Styela clava: one gene and its partner. Each later gene encodes a partner of the first gene's protein in a complex. Links are inferred from orthologs where the notes say so. Each region holds a gene or a part of one and is shown on either strand. Other genes may lie near its edges.

Evidence for each region.
Region 2: ragulator complex protein LAMTOR1-like (region 1) and ragulator complex protein LAMTOR3-A-like share a complex: the UniProt entries of both Homo sapiens proteins name them as parts of the ragulator complex. The link is inferred for Styela clava from reciprocal best matches to the Homo sapiens genes LAMTOR1 and LAMTOR3.

The regions. Positions count from the first base shown.
Region 1 is NC_135255.1:23,608,571-23,615,979, forward strand, and holds the start of ragulator complex protein LAMTOR1-like, read left to right. Parts: upstream 1-4,330; 5' UTR 4,331-4,409; coding exon 4,410-4,535; intron 4,536-6,082; coding exon 6,083-6,254; intron 6,255-7,409. UniProt on the Homo sapiens protein: Key component of the Ragulator complex, a multiprotein complex involved in amino acid sensing and activation of mTORC1, a signaling complex promoting cell growth in response to growth factors, energy levels, and amino acids.
Region 2 is NC_135254.1:5,250,985-5,256,954, reverse strand, and holds ragulator complex protein LAMTOR3-A-like, read left to right. Parts: upstream 1-5,043; coding exon 5,044-5,442; downstream 5,443-5,970. Other genes in the region: U2 small nuclear ribonucleoprotein A'-like, read right to left, coding at 2,187-2,951; uncharacterized protein LOC120344131, read left to right, coding at 5,617-5,970. UniProt on the Homo sapiens protein: As part of the Ragulator complex it is involved in amino acid sensing and activation of mTORC1, a signaling complex promoting cell growth in response to growth factors, energy levels, and amino acids.

The DNA of each region.
Region 1 (7,409 bases):
CTGTCAAGTGGAAAACATAAAAAAAGCAAAAGCCCGTAAGGACAGACTATTGTCTTCGAACACAGGCAGGCTCCTAATACAGTAATAAGTTTTTGCTTGTTTTTATCAATTCTTTTATCGCCTTTTATGCCTATTATGGTTTCAAAATATACTTATACTTACGCTTATACTAATCATAATGTAACGCACGCCAAACGACAGCAAAACTAATAGGCCGCGAGCCGAGGCCCTGAAAACCGCCTAGAAAGTGAGTTTCGTAGCGCACATCAGGTAACTACCTGAAAATGATTTTAAAATGTTCCTTAAAAATTTAGTAACAAATATTGCCTTGTTCCCACTTCCAAAAGTTGCACGTTTTACGGAAAAGATGCTTTTACTACAAGAAATATGTGTCACGATCTGTCCTATATTCTCTACATTTTCGGCACTGAACAATGACTTCTGCATGACGTAACAATTGAATTAAACCAGCTGTTAGCGAGCGGATGAATATTAGTTATTTCTGCTCGACCTTGCGCTGAGTTGGGCAGGCTTTCCATAGCCCTGTTTAGTTATTATCAGTTAAGTTATGCTAAGACGTTGTTGAAAAATGTATAAGTAAATTATTAAACACTTGTAGATCCTTACCACGGATATGGGCCGTGAGACGAAACCATGAAAACGCCCAGAAAATGAGTTTCGTAGCGCACATCTGGTAACTAAATAAATTCTTCAGTTTTGTGTGAAAACGAACATAATGAACGCATTACAGCTTGTTCCACAATCCTGGTGCGAAATTGAATATAAGAGGTTCCCGGAAATTCAATAACCATAAGTTTACAACGCATACATAAGAACTATACAATTCGAGAGCCCTACAGCACACTAACACAAATGTATTCCTGTAATGTTTTGCCTGACCAAAATCGGACTTCCTCAGTCAATCATAATTTATTAGGTAGATTACGAAAAATATGGCATACATGTAACCAACAACAAAAAATACTTTAATTGTGTGACAGGAGTCGGGAGTGACCTCGAAAGCAGCGACACCAACAACGCTGATTCACATTTGAGAATAAATTTTATGTAATAACCACAAGCAGTTTACAACAAGAACAGCATAAAAAGCTACATCCATTTTATAGAAGCTATCAAGTATCAAACGTATTTATTTTTAAGCAATGAAGTCACAAATTAACATCGTGAGCACGAAAACACAAATAAATCAGTTATTTCTCACTTAGAAATTTACCGCAAAAGTCAAGAAAATTAAATGAATGTACAATATGTACATAACATAGTGAACAGAAATATTACAATTTACAATTAATCTTTTTTTAGTTTATGTGGTTATGTATTTGAACAAAGGCAATAATATTTCTAGAAACAGGACTACGACACTAACAAATGTCCGAAAAAAACAACAAATGTATGATACTTATTAAATCAACTGTAATATCTAATTCACTTTCTTCTGAATTGTTTTCGAAATCCACAATCTCAGAAATCGACGTTTCCTCTATAGGTGTACTGTGATTTCTGCAGTCAATACAAAAACAAAAATCTGTGCAATTTAAGTTGATTTTGGCACACTTTCATAAATTATTTTGACTATTTTTCTTTGCAGTTTGCCAACTCAAGAACTGATTTGAGGGCCACATGCTTCTTCAGTGAATCATTGTTGGGTGGAGAGTATAATCCTTATGTTTGACAGTGTTAAATAGACGTGCCCTGGTATCATTTACATTCTTCATATCCTCTTTAAATTCCTCAGCTTTATTTATTAATACCTCGTTAACCTCAAAAGATCTTCATAGTCGAGGGAAAAAAATGAATTGAAAATCTCAATGAAGTCTCCAACTTGAATTTGATGGGCAGTTCCAATTGCAGAAAAGTGCTTAAGTATTTCAATATAAATAGCCCATCTAAGCCGTTTGCAACTAATATGATTCTCATATACCTTTAAGCTTCAAGACTTCTTGTTTAATCCATTTTATAGCACTGATAGCAACAGGGATCAGAGCCTGCGTTAGGTCGGATTGGTGGAACATTGCCGTTTTCTTTTGTAGTACAGTATCTAAAATAAGGAAGAAAATAATATTTGGAGCAGCATGATTTTAAAAATACCCCTAAATACTAACTAATACCTTGAATACATAATGCATTTTATCTGATGTACTAAATGAGCGTATATATGCTCATTGCATGTTCTACAGTCCAGCAGTGTTTGCATACCATTACTAGACTATATCTACACTAAATTTTGATATATCACAGTCTGAAATGTCCTATGACAGTATGAGTATGGACTATAGACTATATTTTGAAACATCAACTGTTTGTCTACAACTTCATTTCTCACCTCTCAATCATTTCCAATGCTACCTTTCTTTCCACTCCGGCATAACTTATCATTGCTTCCCAGGTTCTTGTCGACTCTATGAATTTAGATTTAGACCAACCGACATTAGTAAAATTGATTGATTTCTTCTCTTTCACACAACCGTGCATTACAGAAACAGCCATTCATTTCTATTTCCAAATATGCTGTGGCCTATATAGTAGTATAAGTCTGCTGAATAGTCAAGAAGAGTCATTAAATTAATCATAAACATTTCATGCAAGCCAGAAAATATCGTTGTTTGTGACATATTATTCTAGGTCTAGCCTTCCTTGGAGTTACCGCACCGTACCTATTTAACAACGTCTTATGAGCTAGTGCTCAACTAAAATTGCTATTTATGGCAAGGATATACAAGTGTTTAATATCTTACCTATACTTTTCAACACCTCCTTAGAATAACTGGACTAATATTACCGGTAACTGAAAAAAACTATGGAAAGACTACTCAACGCAAAAGCGAGCAGTTGAGTACATCTGATATTCATCCGACCACTGGGGATCCACCTACAGCTGACTAACTTGACTGTTACGTCGTGCAGAAGTCTGCGTTCATTGGCCCATGATACCGGAAAAGCAGAGAAAATAGGACAGATGGTAACACATATTTAGTGTAGTAAAAGCGTCTTTTCTGTAAAACGTGCAACTTTTGGAAGTGGGAACAAGGCAATATTTGTTACTAAATTTCTAAGGAACATTTTAAAATCATTTTCAGGTAGTTACCTGATGTGCGCTACGAAACTGAAAGATAAATGGCCTCGGCTCGCGGCCTATAAAGGCAGAATGCTCTTTCAGACTACAGTAGTCACGTGCCGTCATGACTTAAAACCGTACCTTGGAGGCGCAGCGGTAGTTTGTACCGTAACGCACTATCGGCAGCAGTCGTGAATTTTATTTCACAAAATCGGCATAAGGCGGTACCGGTACCGATTTATAGGTGCCAGGAAAGCAAGCAAATAGCAGAAAAAAACAAATTCCAATTTCATGCTTTTTTACATTAAAAATAGAAGGGCAGGCCAAAACCGACGTTCAGACGTCAGGACGTTACGCAATTCAGCAATTCTTAATAGCTTTATCTGAATTCGAATTATCTGAATTCTTTTGATATGTAGTTGGAAAATTACGGTACCGTGGTACCTGGTCATCTATTCAAATCAATTCTGTCTGGCTGTGGAGGGGATATATATAACTCTCAGGGTCGAGATATATTTAGGTCTTTCTGTCTATCCAAGTTAATCGTAACTCCTTGAACACTAAACAAAATCATAAGGTGAAAGACTGTCTGATGCAGAATGAAATTCTTGCCTGGCAGCCTGGTGCCTCAATGTCCCACGCCCTAATAGGGTATACCGGTAGTTCTCCGTGCGTGACTGACTGACTTTTACTAAAAAAACTCTGGTGAATAGCCTATTTAGGCAAATATTTTCACATCACTTTTGTTTGGCGTTTTTAGCACTCACAGTGGGTACCTACTTCTTATTAGGACTCCAACTATGAACTCAAAGAAAATTTAATTTTTATCACAAAAATTTTAGCGTATGCAAGCTTCCCTCAATAGCCTTTGAAGAATGTGTAGTAAACATTTTTCTAAATTTCTGTCAAAAATTTGACTCCGACTCTAACTACGAAATCTAAGAAAACCAAATTTTGATAACCAAAACTCTGGCTCTGGTTCGCCATATGGTTAAGCTGTCTTATCGACTTTTAAGAAAGACAATTGTTTATTTCACCCGCTCGCACTGACAGTGCGGTGAGAGTAGAGCGATCGGCAACTTTCAGGAGTGATGCGTCGAACCACATTACAGAGTGTGGTTGGATACAGTCGGCGGGCCAGTCAAAATCTCGTCGCGGCCTGCAGGCCGTATGTTGCCCACCCCTGGTTTAGTACCACAAGTACTAATAAAAGTGTTAAGAAAGTGGGATCGAGATTGCATACCAAAGTGGCAACCCTATTTTTTTATTCCAGTATTCCACTGTTATCCACATAGTATAAATAATATTAATGCATCCTATCTACTGATCTATTATGGGTTGCCTCGAGAGTTGTTTAAAGAAAAATGAGGAGGAAGCGGATGAGCGAACATCGTTGCTAGGAAACGGGAATAGTACAATTGCGAACACAGCCCCAATCAATACACAAGTCATCGCAGAGGTAGTGACTTTTTGTTATTTTCATATTATACAATCTACACAAACTTCACCCCTCCGAGTGCTTATACCACAAAGATTAGTACGGAATTTACTGGGGTCCAGTCTCCCTATAACAGTACGGCACATTATACAAATCGGGTGACATTGTCCCGTTTCAGAGAAACCAATTTTACAGATGATCAGACACTCCTCCTTTGGGAGACGTCTGGACATTGTTGTCCTTCATTATCGATAATAATATGGACATTGTTGTCCTTCATTATCGATAATAATACAGTATAATGAAGTTGCGCAAAATATTACAAAAAAGCGCAATCTAGTAACGTCATCATTGAATTCATTAGGAAAAAATAATCAAATTTACCGAAGGAAAAAAAATTTCACCGTAGCATTCAAAAGTCTTTAGCAAAAAACAGCAATTTTGGTCATGTGACGGCCGGGATTAATCTAGATCAGGGCTACTCAACTATTTTTGCTAAAGGTCCGTATACAAAACTTGAAAATTCTTGGGGTCCGGTATGGCCAGAAAATGTATTTCATACTGCGCCTAACTATAATTCAGTGACTCTATCTTTTCGGTTAAAAAGTTAAGGAAACGCGAGTTGTGGAAAACTGAGTAACCGCAAAATATTCCACATCCTTTTACAGATCCAAAGTTAAATGGAGACAATCATCCAAAATAAAAATAAAATCAGACGCGGTCCGAATCGAATACTCGAAAGGTCAGAATTCGGACCGTGGTCCGCCAGTTGAGTAGCCCTGATCTAGATTATTATTTAGACAAGCATGGCGTGATATGAAGCATCAGACGTGGTCCCAGACGTCCCTCTTTTGTGAGACACATAGAGTGTTTGTTTTATTGAGCCAAATGGAGGGAAATTCTTGGAATTTGGATAGTGTGCTGTACTGTATAAAGTACACTGCACAGTTCACTCAAATATTTCGAACCTGGGTTTCACAGAGTTATAAAGTTTGTAGTTCGGTGTTAATAGGGCTAATGCTCTAAAACGTGATAATGGATTCGGTTTGAAGACTTGAAAGGTCCATTTTCGGAAAGCGGTCATACTATGACTCTGAAAAATTTAAAACTGTAACTCTAGCTCTGACTTCCTTCTTTTCATGTCGGTTAGAGATCTTTCCAGATCAGCATTTTTTTCCCAATTCATTCAACCCTGGGTGACATATTGGGCTTGGATTTGAACCCAATATTTCTAGCTAGGTTAAAATTAAGTTAAACTAACCCTGACGTGGGCGAACTACGGTTCATGGGCCAAATCCGGCCCTTTGGATAATTCAATCAAGCCCGCCTGATGCATTCACAGCCAAATCAAAATCAAATTTTGAGGTTCAACTAAAAATAACTCAAGGAATTTGTTGAGATTGTGATTAAATTAGGTTTTGGCACAAGGCTTATTGTTTTTCACTTTTGTTTTTGTAACACTATTAATATTGTTCATAAAATATGACTTTCACGGCCCCTTTGGCCTAGTCTAGATGGGCAAAAACCTTTCCCTAACCCTGCTCTAACCACTTGGCTAAATTTAACAGGAGCATACACCTATTGGAAGCGTATCACGAAGCCAACAGGACGAACAGACGTTACTTAATGGAATTCTAACAAAATATTCATCTGACGTTATTGACGTAACAGCGATAGATTCGAGGATTGACGCTGTGGAATATATGAACAGAGTGACGCTGTATAATAGAAAATTAACAGGTAATTGGAATAGAGATAGTGAGTACTTCCATACAAGAATAATAGCCATTATGTGTAAACAATGCTCAATGCTGTGGTCCCAAACTGTGTATCATTTAATAACATTAAATTTGTTTGAAGAAATCATTTGATTGACCTGTTTCAGACGCTCAATCGAGCACAATTTTGAATACATTTTTATTAATGTCATACGACCCCCAAAATTTACCCAATATACAATAATTATATACCATTGGAAAGGTATTTTAGAGTACTATACGCTAGATGTCACTGGAGGACCGTAAACTAAAACACATCTTTCAAGAGGTCTTTCGTAACGTCAAAAAATAATAAAAATATTTACACTCTCTCATTCTATCAGCTGTTGGACGTCTATCGCTATTGTAAAGCTGAAATGTGACTATACAGTTGACTGCACATTGGTTTTCTCTTTCATATGATTCTAAACGCTTTTCCATAGCGCGTGTTGTTCAAGCGTTTTGGAAATTTTCCGTTTGAGAAGTCACCACATCGAATCAGGCCAGGCTAAGCTTGATAGATCGATCGGTTGTTTGTTTGTGCTTTATCGCGTTGAAAGCTTTTGTGAGTCATAATAAAACATTTATTATGAATCATAAAAGCTTATAATCGTCAGACAAGGAGAATTTGCGAGATAAAACGCCTAACTTTTTTTCGGTGAGGCAGCTGCGATCAAACGACTCGATATTTTTATAACTTCCTGACGTTGTGAGATGTCCACTCTCCTATGTTATGTAGCATATAAAATGACCTTCAAAATAAGACCTTATCATACTAGCTTTTGTTATTGGTTTGCGCGCAACGCCAAGGTTTATGGAATCATTTTCTTGTTGTGCGACGTTTTTATATCGCAGCGGGAAGTACACGCGTGATATGTAAGCGAAATTTTATCACTTCTAAATGTCATATAAGGTTCATTCTCATATCGTTGTGTGGGGAATAAGATTTCCTTTCAAGCAAGACCATAACAAACATTCCAGACCTCATGGTATACACACAGCATTGCAAAACGTCTGAAATTTCGCGCATGCGTCAAACCGGGAGGATTAGGTTAATAAAATAAATATACCTATGCTAAGATTATTTTATCTGATGAAAAAGACAGTGTGAAACTTTTGGCATTTCTTGCATGACTGC
Region 2 (5,970 bases), on another chromosome or scaffold:
GCTGATCGTGTGCAATTATTCTAGCACTAACACATTTAGTTGGAGGCTGTTAACTTTGCCTTGAGAAAACTTTCATGAAAATCCACAGCTTGGGTTATGAGTGGATGGTTGTCCCTTCAACTCTAAACTGGTACAATTAGTATGTCTAGTGTGAAAACTAAACTATATCGGCATATTTTTAGTTTTAGAATATTGCAATTGGGCTCACGATCGTGGGAGTCTACATAATCAACTTTGCCTTTACAGCGAACAATGCCTAATTTCCCGAACAAGCAAGTAAAGTTGGAACTTGTGCATGCTAGAATGAGACAGACATTATCATTTACCAGTTTTAACTGTATTTGGTGGAGCGCCGACACACAAAATGCAATACCAATTGGGTTTCTTTGTGACTAACTAATAATCCTTCTATGCTGGTGGATCTGCATGCATATAAATGTGAGGGTACTGTAGCAGGAGTAAAGATAACTATCCTGTATGATTCAAGAGTCTTGCTGCACACTAACATGAATACAGCAAATATCTTGACTCGCACAACATGTACGCTTGCATACCTACTGAAACACAGGTTATTGCTATTTAGGTTGTTAAATTATCTCTCATTCCGGAGAAATCCTGCACTCTGGCCCCAGAAGCCATGGTCCTGTCCTGAGAAGGTTATTTAAGTCTAATTCCCACTCTGTGAAAAAGCCTAAGATTGCCATCACCAGCCCGATGTCATTAAACTCATGAAGGTACGACTTCATTTATTGAAATTTGGCCATAGCAGTTACAAAGCATCACTGCAAATCAATCATAGCTTACAGTAAAATAAAAGTAAGAAATAAGTTCAAATAACATATACATTCCTAGACGAAGTCTAATATTTTTTTCAAGTCTTCCAAAGTTAAGACAACTAGTCGCATAGATTCCTAGGAGAACTATTTTGCTAGACAATCAGACATCCGGAACAAAACATTCAAGTTTTGTTTCCACCAGTTGTGAGAGTTTGTCTATTTATTTTCCTGTTAGATTTCGCTGTTCAGATAGCCAGTTTTATGACGCAAACGAAGAAAATGGGCATTTTCAAAAACTAAACATGAACAACAATACGCCCTTCAAAAATTGAGCCAAATTGAATTGGAATCATTGCCAAGTTGTCAAAAGTCCATTTTTGGAAGGTAAACAGGAAATATGAAGAATATAACCAGAACATACTGTATAAACGACAGTTTTAATCTACATAAGACTTGAGAAAATTCCAAAATGCACATTGCTTGAAATATCAGACGTGAAACTCGTCATTGATGCGTTTAGGATTAAAAAAAACAGTAGAAAAGATCACTACGAAATGTATGTACACGATAAAAATATAATAGGGGGAAGGTCAATCTGACCTTTGACCCTGTATGAACTGAGAATGTTGCACAGTTGGAATTATGCAGTGTTAGTGATCTGTTCTTGCCTCTTGGCCCAAATTAAACCTTTTCACCAAAGCGAAGATTCAACTTTGATAGACAGCGGTTCTCAACTTATTTTATTTTGTTACCCAAATTCTGTGGCCCGCTCAGTAGGAAAAACAGCACCATTCATTCATTGCCACTACAATTAGAATTAAACTATAGTGACACAAATGAAATTAGCATCAAAATGTTAACGTGACCGCGCAGTGGGCCATGGCCCACTGGTTGAGACCCACTGCTGTAAGGACTATTTGACGGCCTTAGCTTTTATTGAAGTATTGTGAAATAGTAAGTCTGATTAGGCTTCATTACATATGTTTGTTGAATAATTGTCTCTTGTAAAAATTAAAAAGTCTCTCGAAGAAATCATCTCAACTTGTTTCTGTACGTTTTACATTAATAGGAATTCAATTTCATATGATAATTACCAAATATGCATATTTTAAAAAACGATACAAAAAATAATTTGCCAACAAAGTATGTACTTTAATTATAGTTTTGGTGCAAAAAAGTGAGCCGAAACACTACTTTTTACCCTTCTAGTCGACACTATTTTGATTTTTTAATGCAGATTAAGCGTGACAAATCAATACTTTTTTTGTACTTTTCAACTAAGGCCAGTTCAAATATAGTCCCCAGATTTAGTTCTTATAGCGTAGTAACACGTCTTCGCCTCACAGCCCAAAGTAATCCTGAAAAATCCACCGTTTTTTTATCATTTTACATTCAATTTTGGAGGTGAATTTAGGACACTTCCATTTCAGTCTCCTCTTCTTTATCAGCACCGTTTGTGAGACCGTTTTTATCTTTCCCGGGGATTTTTCCAGATTGAAGCATTCTTTTTAGATTTTCTATCTCTTCAAGAGATTTTGCTTTCATGATTGCCTCCTTGATAGCTTGCTTATCCTGAGCGGACGGCCCTGAAATGGAGGCAGTCGGCTGTGTTGGTTTTCCTGGAGTGAAAGTCCTATTCTTTGATTTTTGTTTGATGTCATTGAGCAGTGTTTCCCCTTTTTTCGAACCGAATAGTTTTTTGGCTTCTTCTCGTTCACGTTGTTTAACTTTACGAAAATCTAAAACTCGTACTTGTGGTAATTTGTGAATAACATAAAGTCTATATTCTTTGTGATGAGTAACAGGATTGCGCAATAGGCTCAAAAATTCCAAGTGTTTAAATCCTTCCAAATAATCAAGATCGGTCAATTCCGCAATTTCGTTGTTCGTGAAGTAAAGCTCCTTCAAGTTAGGGATACTCAGATGAATATCTTCTTCGATTCTACAAATACGGTTATTGTTAAACATCAAAGATCTTATCCGTTTGAGCAACGGAAAACCTTCAAACTTTCGTAAATCATTATCAGAAAAGTCTATTGTGTCAAACTGGTCCAAAGTCGCACCTAAATTTTCAATGACAGGAATTTTGTAGCCTCGTAAGATCAGTTCACGATCTCGTACAGCGTTTACATACTGGACTGCTTGCTCGATGATCTCTGGGGTTAATTTCACCATGATCAAGTTTCAACAGCTTTTTTAGAAAGAATAAAAACTTTATTCCAGTGTTATCATACCGATTATAGAGTCAGAGAATATCTGAAGATATAATAAAATGTTAGTAGATTGACAACAATACTTCCGTAGTGTGTGTACCAGGTTAGGCCATAATTTTATTCTGATTTTCCATATTTTAGTTCTATTACAAGTCTGGGTACCGTCTTTGTAAGCTGAGTGAATATACCCCCTGCCCATGGGCTTCAGTTCCCTTACACAACTTGACGTAAAGTATGCGAACAAAATTAGTTACCTTCATTTTGGCAAACATACTTCTGGAGCGCCACAAGAAGGACAGAGTATCAAACTCAACAAGTCAAGTCAAAATTGATATTGATTTCAAGACAAACAAGTAACTAATTAATCCCATACTCGACATGGAATGGTAATTGGACGATAGGCCGTGTGATTATGTAAATCCTATCCTATTAATAAGACAAATTACAGTAATAATGATAAAAAATTGCCTAGGTCATGCAAACTTCAAACATGTAATATAATATGTTTAATGATAAAACTGCTTTAAGCATACCCTATTGAACTTGGATTCCATTTCAGAAATATCATAAATAAAATTTAGGAGTTAAGCAAAATTAGTGATTCCCACAAAACTTCTTAGAAACTGAGGAATGAAATGAACATGGAGATCACTTATATCACATTTGAGATTTCTCTCGATAAAGCCACATCAGAAAATTGGACTCAATCCCATTTTGACCTCCTAAACTACATACCTCTGTAAATTGATATAAGCCAGGGGTCGGCAACCTACGGCCCCGATCCAGCCCACGACACTTCACTGAATTATAGTATCAAAACAGCTGTTTTGACGATTATATTCTTTACGTAACCGAATTTATTGTGAGACACGTGTAGACTAAATTATATTATAATCTTAAATTTTAAGTATAAAATTTACAATGACTAGTTTAATGATGCTAAGTGCAAAGGGTTCAATAGCGCCAAAAATATTCAAATGGAACTTTTTGAGATGCAATGCAATGAGGAAATAAATCTACATTATATTCGAGAGATGTATCACTGCTTGATTTTCATTATAAAAACTATCATCCGTTCGGTTTTCAACTTTCTAGAGATACCGTATGTGCGGTCCGCCAATGATGTGCAACCCTTAATCTTGGCCCAGGAGCGATAAAAGGTTGCCCACCCCTGATACAGTGATATAAGCCATATTACAGACTGACAGGCCTGTCTGGCTGGGGTATGAATAATACCAGAATACTACAGGGATGCCAACTCACAATAAATACAGAAAAAAAACTATAAAAAATACATAGTCTACATGTAGAGATATCGGTACCGTATAACAACTGCCCTAAAATTACCGTATGTTAAAACTCTTCGATTTAAGTGACAAATAAAACAAATCTGACTTTGAATTACCGGTACGGAAACGACCCTTAAATTATCGGAACGGGGTGGAATATCTTCCTAAACTTCAAACAAAACTATCTTCAACACAATAAAGCTATCCCATTATCTATGTAAGAGTTTAGTTGGGACCAGGGACTGGAATGGCAGAATGGTGACAAGGCAATTCACCCAAGTTAGAAACTACTCGTGAAATTCGTTTTATATTTTACCGGTTTGAATTTAACACGACGCAGGGAGACTAATGATTAAAATTACCCTTTTAATTATAATATGTTGAAAAAAATTAAAACATTGGAAAAACACGAAAATTAAAATTATATAGTTATTTGAAAGAAAATATAAAAGATATTTTCCCATATGATAAATAATAAATGTTAGAACAAGAGAGTAAAATATCACGCGCGGCCTTTACTGTTGCCATATTGCTATAGTTCTCATATTGTATTCCATAAAATTAAACAACTAATCGTATTTTTTAGCATTGTAAAATTTGGAACACACAAAATCTTCCAATTTAAAACTTTAAAGACCTCCACCCTAGAAAAGTTATATCAATTCAACTTAAAATTGAACATCCAATGAGGTGGCACAAATATCTACAAAAATCTGGCAACAGTATTTCATTTTTATCTTTAAGTTCACTTCGCTTATCAGAATAATGTCGGAAGATTTGAAGAAATTTCTCTATCGGCAACTTAGCAACGTTGACGGTCTGTACGCAATAGTTGTTTCAGATAGAGATGGAGTACCTGTTCTGAAAATTGCAAACGAAAAGGCACCTGATTACACCCTGCGGCCTGCATTTTTGGGGACTTTTACCTTGGCAACTGATCAAGCCAGTAAACTTGGCTACGGAAGAAATAAATACATTATATGCTCTTATAGTAACTACAATATTATAAAGTTCACTAGACAGCCTTTGACCGTCAGTTTTGTAACCAACAGTGAATGCAACATAGGACTAATTCTGGATCTTGGAGAGGAGTTACAAGAATATCTTGGTGGTGTGAAGCAGGCAGTTGCAGACTTATCAAAAACATTTTATAACGCAAACTGATTATTTTGAAATGCTTTGTTGAATTGTGATGATTTTTCCGATGTGTAAGCCAACGCATATTTGATTTTGTAATTTAATCAAGAAATTTATATATGTTATTTGTCATTTATTACTTTTATTGCTAGTATTCTCATGTTAAATTGATCATTTTCCGCATATCTCATAGGTTCAAATATGTCAGAGTCTGATGAGGGCGTATCGACCTCATTATTAGGTAATAGAGCTACATCGCCACCTGTTGCCCAGCGATCTTCAAAATCTTTCGTCTCTCAAGTGAAGAACACGCTTTTCTCGTTCATTAAGAAAGCAAAGGGAGAAGCAGATACTGTATCACAAAAGCAGAGAGGATTGGAATCCTTCACTGAGAGAGTTGCCACATTTACTGTATCAAAATGGATGGCAAAACCTCTTGCATTGAGTCCTCCCCTATTTGCTCAATATGGTTGGCAATGTATCGGTGTAGACACTGTTAAATGTTGTTCATGTGCCGCTGTTATGTGTGTCCGTCTTCCATGGCCTGATGCTGAT